2 linked regions of the Lonchura striata genome follow. The protein of the gene in region 2 interacts with the protein of the main gene of each other region in a pairwise test. Links are inferred from orthologs where the notes say so. Each region holds a gene or a part of one and is shown on either strand. Other genes may lie near its edges.

Region 1 (7,680 bases), on a different chromosome or scaffold from region 2:
ATGAAAACTACCCCAGTTAAGTGGGTTGTCTGCGAGCAGCTTGTCACTGCCACATGTATAGCATCAGAAAAAAAAAAGTGTCAAACCAGCCATCCCTTTTTTGGAAAAAGCCAATGCTGCTTATAGCTCTCACTCCCACTTCTCCCAGCAGGAAACAAGGCGGCTTCCCCAGACCTTTTCCAGCACTGCACTTTGTGTGGAAGTTACCTTTCTGCCTGTTCAGGTTTAAAAATATCAAAGAGCAAAAGGTAACCCTGTATGGCACGTAAACATGCCACTGTGAGCTTTGAGGCTGTGCTTTGTACCACTCTTAGCCCGAGTGTTTGTTCTGTGATACAGGTGAATAAAATGGTCATGTGCCTTGAAAGCACATGGGAAGAAAAGCACCTTTTTCACTTATTGATGCTCCTTCACAAAACACACACTTCTCCACTTACAAGTTTCAAAGCATTTAAGAAATATTAATTCTGCAGCAGAAAAACCTCTAAGGTATAACTGTCCTGTCATTCTAGAGAGGAGTAGCAACATGCCAAAGCTAAGTGCTCTGTTTCTTATGCAGGATCCTGGAAAGAAATTTAATATATTGTTTTTTAAAAACAAAATAAAACAAAGAAAATCCCCAGAGCTCACACTTCATCAAGGAAATGCAGCTTGGATGCTAAAAGTCAAACCAGCATCAAGTTATGGATGCTGGGATCGTCAAAGTTCACTTTGCACAAGTGCTTATCTGCACTTGCAAGCAGTACAGACACCATCTTAAGTACTGTCCTAATCTTCAGGTATTAGCTTAGAAAACGCTGGATTTATGGGAAAAAAAGATAAACTTTGCTTCCTTTAGACTCCCACTGTGCAACATATATACCCACCCACGTTCATTTAAAAATTGAACAATCTGTCACATTTGCCCATTATGGTTATAAAGCAGAGCTCTGAACCCATCCCAGTGGATACCTTTCTGAGTCTGGCCACAAAAACCACATCACATTTTGTCTCTTCCCAGTGTGTGAAGATCTCCCAGACAGCTCGGCAACTAGCAAAGGAATCTTTCAGGAAATACACCTTCCTCCTGTCTCCTTCCTTAAGATCTCTCTTTGGGTATGCTCCTACTTTTGTTTATGCAGGAGAGAGATACTTGTGAAATGTAATTAACCACTGGAGAAGATGATGTTTCTGCTTGAGAGTGTGCTCTCTGCCCCAGGCTCCAGCTGCATGACAGCAGCTCAAACACGGTAATCAAAATGAGCGTGGCTGAATACATGGCCAGATTAATGAATCCTGCAATTACACTGGGAATACACTCAGCTCTTCCCAGAGAGATGGATAAAAGGGTGCAAAGGCAGCATGGCCACAAGCACACTGTTTCCAGAAAGCTTTTTAAAACTTTGAATGAGAGACGCCAAAATGCTCGGCAAACGCAGCGATAGAAAGACTAGTCACAGGATTAGGGTGACCTTTTGTAACCAGGGCATTCAGAGGTAAACTGAAGAGCAATGCCAGCGTGTTATGTGTTTGCATCAGTCCTTGGAAAAGAGCCAGAGGACTGTAAAGGGAACTTAAAGAGGATCTAAGCTCTCCTCTAACCAGTAATACCATAAAAGCCCACTGGAAATAGAAAGACAAGACCTGAGGAAACGCCGAGACTTTTTTATGGAAACAGGGCTAAGCATTGCCACGCTCTGTGATAAAATATTAAGCCAGCTTCATGCCCCTCAGGGAACACCCATGGTCAAGATTTTCTTCACAATCACAGCCTAAAACCATGCCCGGGACGCCCCAAAAGAGCACCTTTGCCTTCCTCAAAACCTCGCCGCCGCCGGCAGATGAGCGGGGTTAGGACCCGCTCCTGTGAGCGCGGCTCTCCTGCCCCGCAGCCCTGGAGCTGCTCTCAGCCACGTCCCCGTTCAGCAGCGCCCCTTTCCTTCCTTCCTTCCTTCCTTCCTTCCTTCCTTCCTTCCTTCCTTCCTTCCTTCCTTCCTTCCTTCCCCCGCGGGCTCGGGCCCCGCACCCCTCCGGGAGCCCGGCCGGGTACCTGTTGCTGCCGGCGGCGCTGCCGCGGCTCACAGCCCGCTCCGGGACGCCGCTCGCCCGCCGCCGCCCAGCGCTCCTCGGGCACCGCAGTGCCCCATCCCGGGCGGCAGCGCCCGCAGCTGGAAAACTAATAAACAGCGAATAATAATTTATATATTTAAAAAAAAAAGATAAAATTAAAGTTTTAGAATGAAAAAAAAAATAATTAAAAATTAGGAGAAGCGAGAAGAGCTCGTCTCCCGTCGCCGCGCACCGCCGCTCTGGCAGCGAGCGAAGCCGCTGCCGGCTTTTCCTTGCGGAGCTGCGGGAGGCAGGCGGAGGCGGAGGAGGGGGCGGGCGGCCGGCCGCGCAGCAGCGCCGCCTCCGCCCCCACCCCGCGGGCAGTGCGGGCTGCGGAGCCCCCCGGGCTCGGCCCCGCGGGATGCGGCGGAGCCGGCGCTGCCGGTGCCTCCGTACCTTTTTGGGAGAGGCGGCGGTGCGGCTCTTCCTTTTTTTTGTTCGATGCGTCTGGCCCCTCAGGCCGTTTGTCCCGAAGGCGGAACATCTGCAAAATCCCTCTGACCCTTCCCGCCTGGAATGGGGCAGGGAACGGGCTCCCGCAGCTCGCCTTCCCCGCAGCCGGTGGACCACTCGCTGCAGCCTCCGTTGCCTTCAGTAGTGTGTATGAAAGCTCTAAATTTGGATATTGGGCGGGCTGAAGACAGCAGTTAAAGGCGAATATAAATGAAATAACATTGCAATTAATGGACCTTGAGTTTCCTTCTTTAAGCGTTTTTCTGTTACCCCAAGAAAAAAAAATGGCAGAAATACTGTATTTTCCCAGAGACTCTGAGGTATTTTCTTCAAATTTAGTCTTCCTTCAAAAATGGATAGTCCTATTTACTATCAATATATCTCTCTAGAGAGATGGATTTTGCATATATTTGTTGCTATCCTGAGGACTTCTTCAATTCTCTTCTGTGACTTTTTTTAATAGTGGACTTTACATCAGGCAACAGAAATACCAAACGCACGTTGTATTTTCTATTTGATTTTCTGTTCCTCTGCCAGCATTTAAAGCTGTCATAGGGTCCTTCAACAAGCTCCTCTTGTGCCTCTAAAACAGCTGCAAGTGCTTCTTTTCTGGGGGGAGGGGGGAGAGGGAGTGAGGGGCAGAGGGAATCCCTGGCAAATCTATTGGCCAACCCAATTCCTAGGCTGGTAAATGGACACTATTTGGAAGGAGGCTTGAGAAGTCAATGCTGATACCCTCCCCATATCCCTGTATCTTTTCCCTTTTAGGTCAGGACAGTTAGACTCACCACTTTGAATGCAAATGTTTTCATTGAGTACACTGACCTGTCACACAGAGGATGATGTTGTATGAAGAAGTTAAGCAAATGACAAGGAAGACAGAGCTAGGTTTTTTACAGAGCATTGTGCATGTAAAACAATCCCCCAGACTGTCCCTGACCAAAATTCCAAGCTGCCAATTCCAGATGACCTATCATCTTCAGTAATTTTCAGCAGGAATAATGAATATGAGTTATTTATACTGTATGCTGAAAATAAACCCTGTAGCCTTAGAAAGTAAAAATGAGACAAAATGACTCCAGATTTAGTAAAAGCAGAGAAGCATGCTCTTCACACTGGTGTGCAGACCTCTGGGGCCTAGAGGCCGTTTCCAAGGTTTCTGAGTTCAGATGGGCTCTACAGCAATCAAGGCTGTGGTATTTCCAGAGGCACCCATTTCTCCACTAGAAAAAGTGTAGGGGCTATTGCCAACACAGTGTCACTGCTGTAGCTCCAAGGCAAAATTTTAAGGGTGACCTTTCTACATCTCTGACTGAATGGACTATTCTCCCATTTCATGTGTGTCACACAGGATGTGAACTCTGAGGCAAAGGCGGAGGAATAGCTTTCTGGAAAAAGCATCTGTGCACTTTGGGATATGGAATGCCAGGGAAAGAGGAGAGAAAATATTTGTGGCAACGCTGAAAGCTATCATCATGCATACTTAATATGTATTTGAGTCCATTTCAGCCTTTTAGAGGGTGGCAGCTCTCACTGTGGAAGCCTGGTTATCTGTTAAAGGTTTTCAATGCCAGAGACTAATTGCAACATCTCACTTCAACCTGGAGCCTCCTACAGTTCTGGTCAATTGTTACCAACTCCCTCTGGCCTTTTTGATCTTATCTTGCAGAAGATTTTTTAAACTTAAAGTTGCAGATGCAAATTACCTCATTCATATTGCAGCCTCCTCTTTCAAGGAAATATCCTCCATCCTATGCAAATGCATGTGATAGGGATGTATGAGCTGTTTCTCTTGGTTTCTCAATATAGTTTAGCATAGCAAATGCAGAAAGCTACTCTCCTCCTCTCCATCACACCCAGCCCTACACACACTCCCACTTCTCTGCCCTCAGTGCTCGTTAAAACAGCTGGGAGACTGAGTAGGTTGATTAATGCTCTAGATAAAATCTTTGCCCCACTTAGTCCTTCTGGACATGTATTCATCCTGACACACATGCTTTTGAAAGGCTGGGACAGTCATTCCACGTGTGTCTTGTTTTGCTAATTCAGTGGAAATTGCCAGAGAGCTCTGTCTCCCTCCATCATCCGGCAGGAGCTGAAGCTGCCATTGTATTGTGGCTGTGATCATGCTACTATGCCTATAAATTATTCACGGTATTGCAGCGTAATCTTCTGTTATGTTAAAAATAGGTCATCATGAGTGTCCCCAGTGAAATTCTAAGTGACAACAGCTGATTTTAGCTTTGTCTCCAGAAAACAGTGACCTTTTCAAAGCAGTAATTGACAATTATGGTCTACTTCTGTCTCTGAGACAGCTCCAGTGCACCTTCACAAACATTTATTCTCAGCAATGGTAACCCCACATTATACTTGAGACAACTAAACCAGAGCCACTAAATTACCTGCTGAGCTTTGCTAAAGCACTTTGCTTTCTATTAGCCTTTGCTTCCAGGCCAAAGAGTAAATAAGGATTATAAGAGAAGAGATTATAGTCTGAGAATACCTAAATGCTCTGCTCCTCCCAGGCACTCAGAAAGCTTCTTGAAAGGGCTGAGCAGGATTTTCTGACTGATATGCATCAGTTACACATCCGTCTGGGGGGGTGGATATATTGAGAGATACTTCACTTTTCCCATTGCCACACAGACTCCAGCCCACTGAATCCCCTGAATCGAGAGAGCAGGAGGCTATCAGGCCCATTGCAGACTAGACAAACCTGGAAAGGGGGAGCATGACCCAGTAGTCTGGACAGAGGTCTGGGGGAAACTCTCTTTTCCCCATAAGATACTGTGTGGGAGGGCTCTGTGTGGACCCCCTGAAAAAGCTGAATATTGTTGAAATTTCCCTGCTTGCTGTGGGGATGGATGTCTGTTATGCAGACACAAAGACTTAGGCCTGGCTGATTTCATTCACCTGAAAGCAAGGACTGGTAGTGGGTGGCAATGCTCAGCAGACCATGCAGACAGCAGTTTGCATGGAGGTCTCTTGTTAGCATGTTCAGAGCAACAGGAGGCCAAAGGAGATTGGGGGATGGTTGGGCAGACCACAGCTTTGAGCTTTGCGTGTCTGAGGTAGATCAGGCCTGCCCTAGACTTTAAGGAAAACAATTTATACCTGGTTTTTCCTGATGTAACTTGTCTTTGCTGTGGTTCTGTGTAACTCCCATGCTCAGAAAAGATGCACAAGGCATCTTCATATTGCTGATGGACATCCCACGGGACATCTCCAGTAGGTGTCACACCCAGGGAAGTCTTCTGTGGAAACAAAGGGTGCAAACCTGACTCCTCTTAACTGGGGATTTTGGTCCAGAAATATAGGTAAATGATCATATTTGAGTGTGTGGAACATGGCAGATGCTGGAACCATCACTAGGGAAAGTTTTTAGGGGAGAGGTAAAAGACAAGACCCTGACACCTGCCATGAACAATCTGGGCAAGATGTATGCATTAACATTCTGACCGTATGCAAGTTTGCCATTACTCTTTCCAACTATGCATGTCAAATTGTAGCCACAATTCTACTGCACCCTGCCCATGCTGCTCTTTGGATTGTCTCTGTTCCTTATAGCTTCTCTGTCCAGTTTGTTGCACATTCATTGCCATCCTGTAGCACTTCTTGCTCTCTTTCTAGAAGAATTTGATACCTACTTGTTTTTCTCTCCTCTAACCACTGTGCAATCATTTCCCCCCTTTTACTTCCCATCACTGTGTTCCTGCTCCACCCTCAAGTTCCTCATTTCTCATGATGGTGCTTTTGCAATTCTTTCCACTTGTTGCTCTGGGGCACTTAATGGGGAAAAGTTACTAGTGCTGATCTTCTGCAGTGATTCAGGAACAAATTTCATTTTGGACTTCTGGCCAGATGCTCAGCACAGTTGTATCCTTGGGAATGACCAAAGCATAATGCAGTAGTTGTGTCCTGTGGCATGGTGGTCAGGACGCACTTGGTATGTCAAGGAACAGCTATGGATACAGAGGGAGAGGGCCAGGGACAGAAAAAGGAGTCACCTTCAGCTGCATTTGTGGTGGTCTGAGATAGCTGCCTTCAGATCAAGAACCCCTCAATGGGCTGTGCCTCTGGCAGCATGTGAGGGAGGTGTATGCACAAGCACACATCCTACCTATCCTCACATATATAACTTAGGGGAGCAGCACAAAAGAGCCACTGACTGCATTTTTTTCTCCAGAACCTGTTTCAAAATCAGCACTGATGCCTCTTCTGGGGAGGTTTTGCATGGCAATGTTCATACAGGGTTGGAGGGAGAAGCACATTCCAGTTTCTCAGACTGCTTAGCAACCAGGGCTGGCTGAGCCGCTCTTACGTGCACACCAAGTGTGTGGATGGTGTGTCTAGTAGTGCAGCTCTATCCTTATATTTCCCCTTTTATTGTTTTTGAAAATCAGTCCTTGTTTTCTAGTTAAGGCACTTGAAAAACTGCTGTAAAGTAATTTTTGCTTTCCTGGGCAGCTGGAAGTCAGCTACACTATGAGATGATCAAAGCTATTACAGGAGGGATTGGAGACTTGAAGAGACAGGTGTGGCACCATCAGCCTGCTTTTTGGGAGCATGACTGCAGGACAGTGTCATCCATGCTGCTGGTAATAGGCTGGCTTGAAGTCCTGTTGCTGGACAGCCATAAAACCAGCTTGCCCAGAGGAGTGCAGGCAGTGGAACACATTGCTTTCCATGGGTCTGCAGCATGTGAGGTTCCTGCTCAGGACTGTCTTAGTACAGTCAACATGCTTAAGATCAAGAGGACCCTGTTAGACCATTTCCAGGAATGGTTTCAGCTTTGTAGACAGAAAGTCAATATGTTCCTAGCTTCCTTGCTGGGATCCTCTTGAATCATTAGATAATCTCTTGCCTCTTACTTGTTTCTTGGCTCTCAAATGCCCAGACCAGTGTCCCTGCCACAACCTTCACCGTCCATCATGACCGCAGGCTGAGATTCTGAATCTGGGGGTTCTCTTAGGAACTGTGACCATCTCTTCCCATGTTATCCAGCAGTAATGCCTGATTCTGAAACTTGCTGCTGACATAAGGACTATAGTTAAAATGTGGCCCCAGCCCATGTTCACCTTGCACCCTCACCTACATTTGAGGCAATTTTGGGCAAGCTCTAAAGCACAGAGGAGGAGA
Region 2 (6,994 bases):
TTTAGGAAAGACTGGCTTTTAGTTGTGTGGATGGCAAATATATTAATTAAAAGGTGGACTATAGGTATTTTAATTCAACTTTTATAGTCTCAAATGTCCTTCCCAAATGAAAATATGGTGATAGGAAAAGGACAGAAGAGAGGATGGACAGGGCAGTGTCACTCTACCAACTCCAATTAGCCTTTGCTACTTTATTCACTGTTCAGAATGAGTGGTAACAGATCCCACCAAGACCAGAAGGCACCCAGACACTGAACAGCAGTGGAAAAGTAACAGTAACTTAACCAGTGTACCACAGATAGTATTTTGGGATATTTTTGCTTATTTTTGAGATTTACCAAAAAGTAATAAGCAACCACCTCTTTCTATTTAGCTACCCACTATTTATAGCAGGAGAGGAATTATACCAAAAGGCAAGGAGCAGAGGATTTTCATCATGCATTCAGGTGTGTGCAGGTGCATAGCTGTGCCCTGGGAATGGAATGAAGGTCTGCTGTCATTTGGCACATTTATTTTGCATTGCACTGTTCTCTATTACAGAGTTTCACCCTTATTATATGTTTTACTAGGACAAGCTCATAATGGATTAATTTAAGATTTCAAGGGCACACTTGCTGTACTTTATCAACATGCTAACTTCCTTAAATTCACCCCATTACACTTCTCCTCCACGTTAGTTCAAACTACGTTTAAAAACACATTGTAAGGCAACAGAGCAGAACAAGAGAGAGAGATGAGATTTAGTACTAAAGGTAAAAGATGGTGGTTTGAGTGGAGACTTGGAAAGAACCTGATGATACCATAAGCAGCAGGGAGTAAAATGGTAGAGACACTGAGAAGGCACACTTGGCTAATGAAAAGGTAGCCAAGGTCAGAAATATCTAGCACAGAGCAGACAAGATGTGAGGAAGAGCCCACAGGATTCTGGGCAACTTAAATACATTGAGAGAAAAAGATTAAGTCTAAAAACCAGAAACCCAAGAGTTACTATCGGAAAATGAGGAAAGATGATGATACTTCTAAGACCTCTCCTAAACGTTTTCATTTGCAATTTGCTTATCTGAAGAGCCATCCCCAGTCCTACATCCTGGTGGCAGTTAAGATCATTTAGGATGTTTTTACTGTCAATTCCTGGCTCAGAGAACTCCCCGCCTCTGGCGCTTGGCTGCTGTGGCACTTGGCCAGAGCCTGAGCTTGGTGAGCAGGGATAACATGAGAGCTGCTCAGCTCAGTTCTGCTGTGACTGAATTTATTTTGCCCTTTATGTGATGGTGCATTCATGTCTTGAAAAATTATTTTTGACAAACACATGTATTCTAGTGTTAAATGATACAAATCATCCAAATTTATGGATTATTGTAAAAATCATACAAATTTATGTCAAACATTTATGCTGAATGTGCTGTTAAACATTCCAGTGAACTAATTAAAGTGAAATAAGGCTAACATTTTTCTTTTTTTAAACATGCAGCCTTGGTCCAAATCAGTACCAGAATTAGCCTGTGTATATTTGAACGAGAAATGCCGTTGTTGTGTGGCTGGAGACCTGGATAAGACCAGAACAGGGCAGGAAGAAAGCACACATGTATCAAAAGAGTCTTCAACAGCAAGCAAATATTTTCACAAACAATCTTTTCAGGGAGGGAAAGACTTAATATTTCCATACTGGAAAAAAAAATCCCCAAATAAAGCCATGCGAAAACCTAATACTTTGATTCACAAACATTTAGGACACGTACCATTAACTTTTGAAATTTCTGAGATAAAAAGAAGACAACAGAAGTCTGGTTCTGGAAGAAGTTTACCATTTCAAATTCACACAGATGGCAGAACTGACACTTAGGCTAAGCTCTGGGGGTGGGGGGAGAAGGCAACAACAAACTTAACATTACCTAGGGAAGTCTTAGTGTTTAATTTTCTCCAAATACTGTATCACACAGAGAAAGGGCGGGTGGGAACCACTGCTGGTGAAGAATTCCCTGCAACAAACAGGTGAACTGTACGAGGAGAGAAACAAAAGCTGGATATGAGGCAGCAACTAAAAACAAACAAACCCCCGTTCCAGACACCTCTTAAAGGGATATCAAAGTAGTTGTGGTATCACTGGACTGGGAACAATACTTCATCCTGAGTATCACTAATAACTAACTCTCCAGACCTCTGGGAGAAGTTTTTGGGTCTTATTTTTAAAACTCAAACAGTAGTCTCGAGGTTCCTCTCGCGCTCGAAAGAATGGGTGTCGTGGCAGAAAAGGTTTATGCGGGGTGTATTTTAACACCGGGCAGCTCTCAGCCCAGGTGAGGCTGTCGGGGCTCCGGTGGTGTCAAACCACCCCCGGCGCTTCCCCGGCCTGCTGCAGCCGCCCCACCAAAAAACACCGCCCAAACTTTCCAGTTTCGCTCCAAAGGCCGATTCCTCCCCGAGATAAAAGTTCAGCGGCGCACAACCCCCCGGCAGCCCTTGCAGAGGCAGCCCGGCACGGCCCCGTGTGCCGCGGGGGGCCCGGGACGGCGACCCCCGGTGCGGGCGGGGCGCGGCCCCGGCGCCGCTGACGTCACACAACAAGCTGCCACTCACCGGGGCACCCCCGGTGCCGCCCGTGTCACCCCGCGGGGCCGGGGGGGCAGCACCGCCCCCGCCACACCGCCCACGGCCCGGCGGCGGTACCGGGTCCCGGGCGGGGCGCGGGCGGCTCCCGCGGGAGAGCCCCGGGGCCGCGCCCCTTCCTCCCCTCCCCCGCTCCCGCGGCCCGGAAAGGGCCCCGTTACCGGCCCCAGGAACTCGCGGAGGGGCCACCCCCGCCAGCCCTCCCCTTTTGTGCGCGGCGGTGGCGGCGAGAGGCCCGGCCGGGCCCGGCCGCCCCCGCCCGCAGGCCGCGGACTCCCGGCGGGGGCGGGCGGGCCCCACCCGGCGACGGCGGCGGGAAGGGGGAAGGGGAGAAGAGAGGCCGGCGATCCGCCCCCCCACCCCGCGCCCCGCGGTCGGCAGAGAGCCCCCCGGTACCTGCGGCCTGCGCTGGTCCGGCTCCCGCCGCCTCCTGCTCCACAGGCCCGAGCGCGAGCGGCGGCGGCGGCGGAAACGGGCGGGGCGGGGCGGGCCGTGCGCGCTCCCGGCCCCGCGCGCGGCGCGCTCCCGAGCCGCCCCGCCCGGCCGCGCGCGGCTGCCAGCCCCGCGGCCAATCGGCGCGGCCGCGCGCGGGGGCTGCCGGGAAGGGCCGCTATAAAAGGTGCCGGTGCTATTTACGCCGCGGCAGTTGGGGAGCGGCGGGGCTGGGCTGTGGGCTTGGCTTTGGGCCTGTTGGTGTTCTCTTAAGGGAGGCTGCTCGCCTCCTTGCGGCCTCATCGGTGCCTGCTCCGTGAGGCGTTATCGATGCTGGGCACGGTCCCTCCGCATCTACTGCGGGAAAGGCGGCTGTGGTGGGGCCCTGAATCGCGATGCCCGGTTTGTCTGTGGGCGGTTCGTCTCTCCCTTCCGGTCCAGTGCGTGGTTCTGGGCCCCTCAGCTCGGAAGGACCAGAAGGGTCCAGGGAAGGGCAGTGAAGCTGGTGAGGGGTCTGGAGCACAAGTGCTGTGAGGAGCAGCTGGGGGTGTTTAGCCTGAAGAAAAGGAGGCTCAGGGGTGGCTATGCTACTCTGTAAAACTCCTGACAGAAAGCTGCAGCCAGGTGGGAATTGGCGTCCCCTGCCTGGGAACTAGAGATGGGATGAGAGGATGTAGTCTCAAACTGCACTGTGCTGGACATCAGGAAGGATTTCTTCACAGCAGGGGTGATCAGACATTGGAACAGGCTGCTTGGGGAGATGTGGGGTCACTGTCCCTGGAGGTGTTTAAGGAAAGGCTGGCTGAGGCACTCAGTGCCATGGTCTGGCTGACATCCAGGAGTTTGGTCATAGGCAGGATTTGATGACTGCAGGTCTTACAACCTAATTGATTCAGTTAAAGGTGGTTGGGAGCAGTGGTATCAAAGTACCCTGTTTGTCTGTGAGCCTATTTATTCCAGTGGAGCAAATGAGCTCTGCTCCTAGCAGGCACTGAGCTGTGCCGTTGGGGCTGGAGAAAGCTGAGGGGCTCACAGGCAGCACAAGGCAGGGGCTGGAAGGGTTGGAATCACAGCATTTCCTGAGTTTGTCTGTGGTGAGCTTAATGGCAAGGACTGCCCTCATCCCAGGGTGCAGATACCTGTGGTTGATGCACTGGAGGAAGGATGCTACTTCATCATTTCCATCCTTGCCCACCTGAGGAGGTTCAACATGTGGAACTGGCTTCAGGGGCCCCGGGGTGAGGTCATCACTGCAAAGGGAATGTGTGCATGGAGAGGGTTGGTGACAAACAGCCTCTGGTGTCTCTCAGGGCTCCCTTGTGAACAGGCTCAGCAGCCTTCAGCTGGCACTTGGGGATGGTCTGTTTAACCTGGACACTGTAAGAGAAACTGATGCTGTGCTGCTTCTGATGCATGATCTGCAGTGCTTCTCCCCATTCCCTCATTTGACAACATTTGCATTGCCAGCTAACTTTAGGCTGACCTTTTTATGGACTGCTCTGGTACCTGTAGAGGACGGGTGCTGCTTAGCTCCTCTCAGTAAGCAGCTCCCTGGGACTGGCTTGTTCTGCCAGCATTGCAAGGAAGGTGACTTTTTCTTACCAAGCAGACGTTTGATTCAATGTGGTAAATGGTTTTTACAGCTTAGTACCAGTTCTTGATGGATGACTGATAGTGTGCACAGTCAGAGGCCCATGATAGTTTATTCTGTGGCTGACCAGTTTGCCTTCACACCTCTGTTGCTGAGACAGAAGTTCATTTTCCTGAAGTTTATAGGGAAATTATCTGTGGTTTGAACATCGGGTTGGTTAGGCTTGAATCAGAAATCAGTTATTTCTAGGCCATAGGTTCTTTTCATAATTGTTTTTTATTACTGTTTAATAGAGATCCTTGTGGCCTACTGTTGCTTTTTTTTAATGATCCATTGGGAATTTTTGCCTTTGTTTCCAAAACACTATCGGGTGTTTTGATCACAGTGTGTGTGCTTCCTTTTCCTTCTCCTTGCCCAAGGGAGAGCACTGATTGAATTTGGGTCTGTGGCCACAGGTCCTGCTCTCTCAGGTGGGTACTGTTTGGGCATGATGTTAATGAAAGTACTTCAGGAGCTGACTTTTCCCAGTTTGGTGAATAGGTATCTTGTAATGGATTCAAAACTGATTTTAATCAAGGTAGCCAACAAACTCTACTGACAGCAATGAGGATCCTCAGTCTAACTCTCTCTGTAAACCACATCTTCTGAAGGTGTCTGTAGTGTGAACTTGCTACCTTTTCTTGTCTTGCGTGTGCTATTCAAAACAGTCTTCATCCTGACTTTCATGATGGCCAGGTTTGTGTCAAGGGTGAGAAACTGCTGCAGAAGTGCAGCTCTTCTCACACAACATTTGGGGACTTTGTTTATGTATCAAAGCAATGTATTCTGAAACTATTAGTTTGGTCATAAATCAAAGCCCCTCCCTTTCTCCTCCTCCCCTCAATTATTTTATTTTGCCAAGGTAAGGGCCCATACAGGGGAAAAAATGGTTTATTGACTGCCATGAAAAGCTAAAATACCCCAAATATCTCTTGCAGATATTTTTATTGCAGGGATACCTTTTACAATCAGTTCTACTTAAGTCAGACAGTCTTTCAAATGTGTTTACAGCTAGCAGGAAAACAACAAGAACTGAGAAGAAATAATTGGAAGCAGTAGCTGATAAATTTTTTTTTCCCTTAGGGAATATACCATGGGTTATATTTTTGGTCAAGCTATACACTTCACTGAAGAGTAAATGTAGTTTCTGTGCCAGGAAACTGAGAGCTTCCTTCAAGCACCCCAGCACTGACATGATTTACTAAGAGTGCTTCCATAACTTACCTATTAGTTAATTGCATTATAATTTGCTTTTAAAAATCTTGTCAGAAACTGGGAGTAGTATCTAGAAATGCTTGCCAACCAAACATAATGGTATGTCAATGTTGTCTTTGTTCTAGGGCTATAAACTGAGCAGTGTAAAGCATCTGTCTACCACAATAAAAACGTGGGTTTGTGTCTGTAGAAAAAACAAAACCAACCCAAAAATCCCCAACAACTTATCCTTCCCAGCTGACTTGGCTATCCAGCTCCTAATGTCACAAACTTTTATCTAAACCCAGGCAGTTCAGATTAATGAACAATGGAAATTAGCAGGTCAAGCCAAATATGCCAAGTGTCTTTTCTGTTTCCTCATATGTGGCCTAATTAAGCAAATGGGAACTCTCCCAATGGTGCCAATAAAAAAAAAAAAAAAAAAGTAAACCCAGCAGAGTTCAAACCAAAAGGAGATCTATTTCTTCCATGTAGGACATCAGTCTTCCTCTCTGCATAGTCTACACCACATTTAGGCCAAATGCAGGCTTTAATGAATTTAGTTTTTGATCTGCCTCAGAGATAAAGAATCCTGAAGGGCAAGTCACCTGTCTGAAGTCCTAAAGGAAGTGGCCACCTTAAAAGCAAGTCCTTTAGCCTCCTCCTTCTCCCTTGCTGTAGCAATTAGCTCACTGGTGTTGTCCATGGGTGGTAGTTTGCAGCTGGGCCCATGGCTGCTGTGCATGTTGCTGTTATGACAGCCCTGATGAAGGGAGAATTCCTGTGCTCTGGATAGGGTTTTCACAGAAGAGAGAACTGCTTGTCCACACAGATAGGGAAATCCAAAGCCTTTGATATGCAGAGGGGGAGCAGAAGCTCCAAAAATTTGCTGGCCTCCTCTAGCAGTGGTTGGAGAAAGGACACCTACAAGCCCCAGATCAGTGCTGCTCAAGTGTCTGGCACAGGCACCTCCAAGGCTTGGTCAGGCTTCCCTGTTGCAGGACTACTGCAGCAGGAGAAAGCAGCTCTGTGTTCCTGCTGAGAGAATCCTGGCTGGAAGGCCTTGAGACTCAGAGGAACACTGGCCTTCCAAGAACTGCGTGTCTCCAAGCCTATCCTCTGCCTCCATGG

What was found. The genes of interacting proteins can lie anywhere in the genome.
Region 1: the proteins of RHOA (region 2) and RIPOR2 interact in binary tests that used the Homo sapiens proteins (3 or more experiments, as listed by UniProt). The link is inferred for Lonchura striata from reciprocal best matches to the Homo sapiens genes RHOA and RIPOR2.

The regions. Positions count from the first base shown.
Region 1 is NC_134603.1:59,942,593-59,950,272, forward strand, and holds the start of RIPOR2 (rho family-interacting cell polarization regulator 2), read right to left. Parts: upstream 3,069-7,680; 5' UTR 2,573-3,068; coding exon 2,485-2,572; intron 2,345-2,484; exon of another isoform or gene 2,030-2,344; intron 1-2,029. UniProt on the Homo sapiens protein: Acts as an inhibitor of the small GTPase RHOA and plays several roles in the regulation of myoblast and hair cell differentiation, lymphocyte T proliferation and neutrophil polarization.
Region 2 is NC_134614.1:10,402,821-10,409,814, reverse strand, and holds the start of RHOA (transforming protein RhoA), read right to left. Parts: upstream 3,106-6,994; 5' UTR 3,004-3,105; intron 1,998-3,003; 5' UTR 1,893-1,997; intron 1-1,892. UniProt on the Homo sapiens protein: Small GTPase which cycles between an active GTP-bound and an inactive GDP-bound state.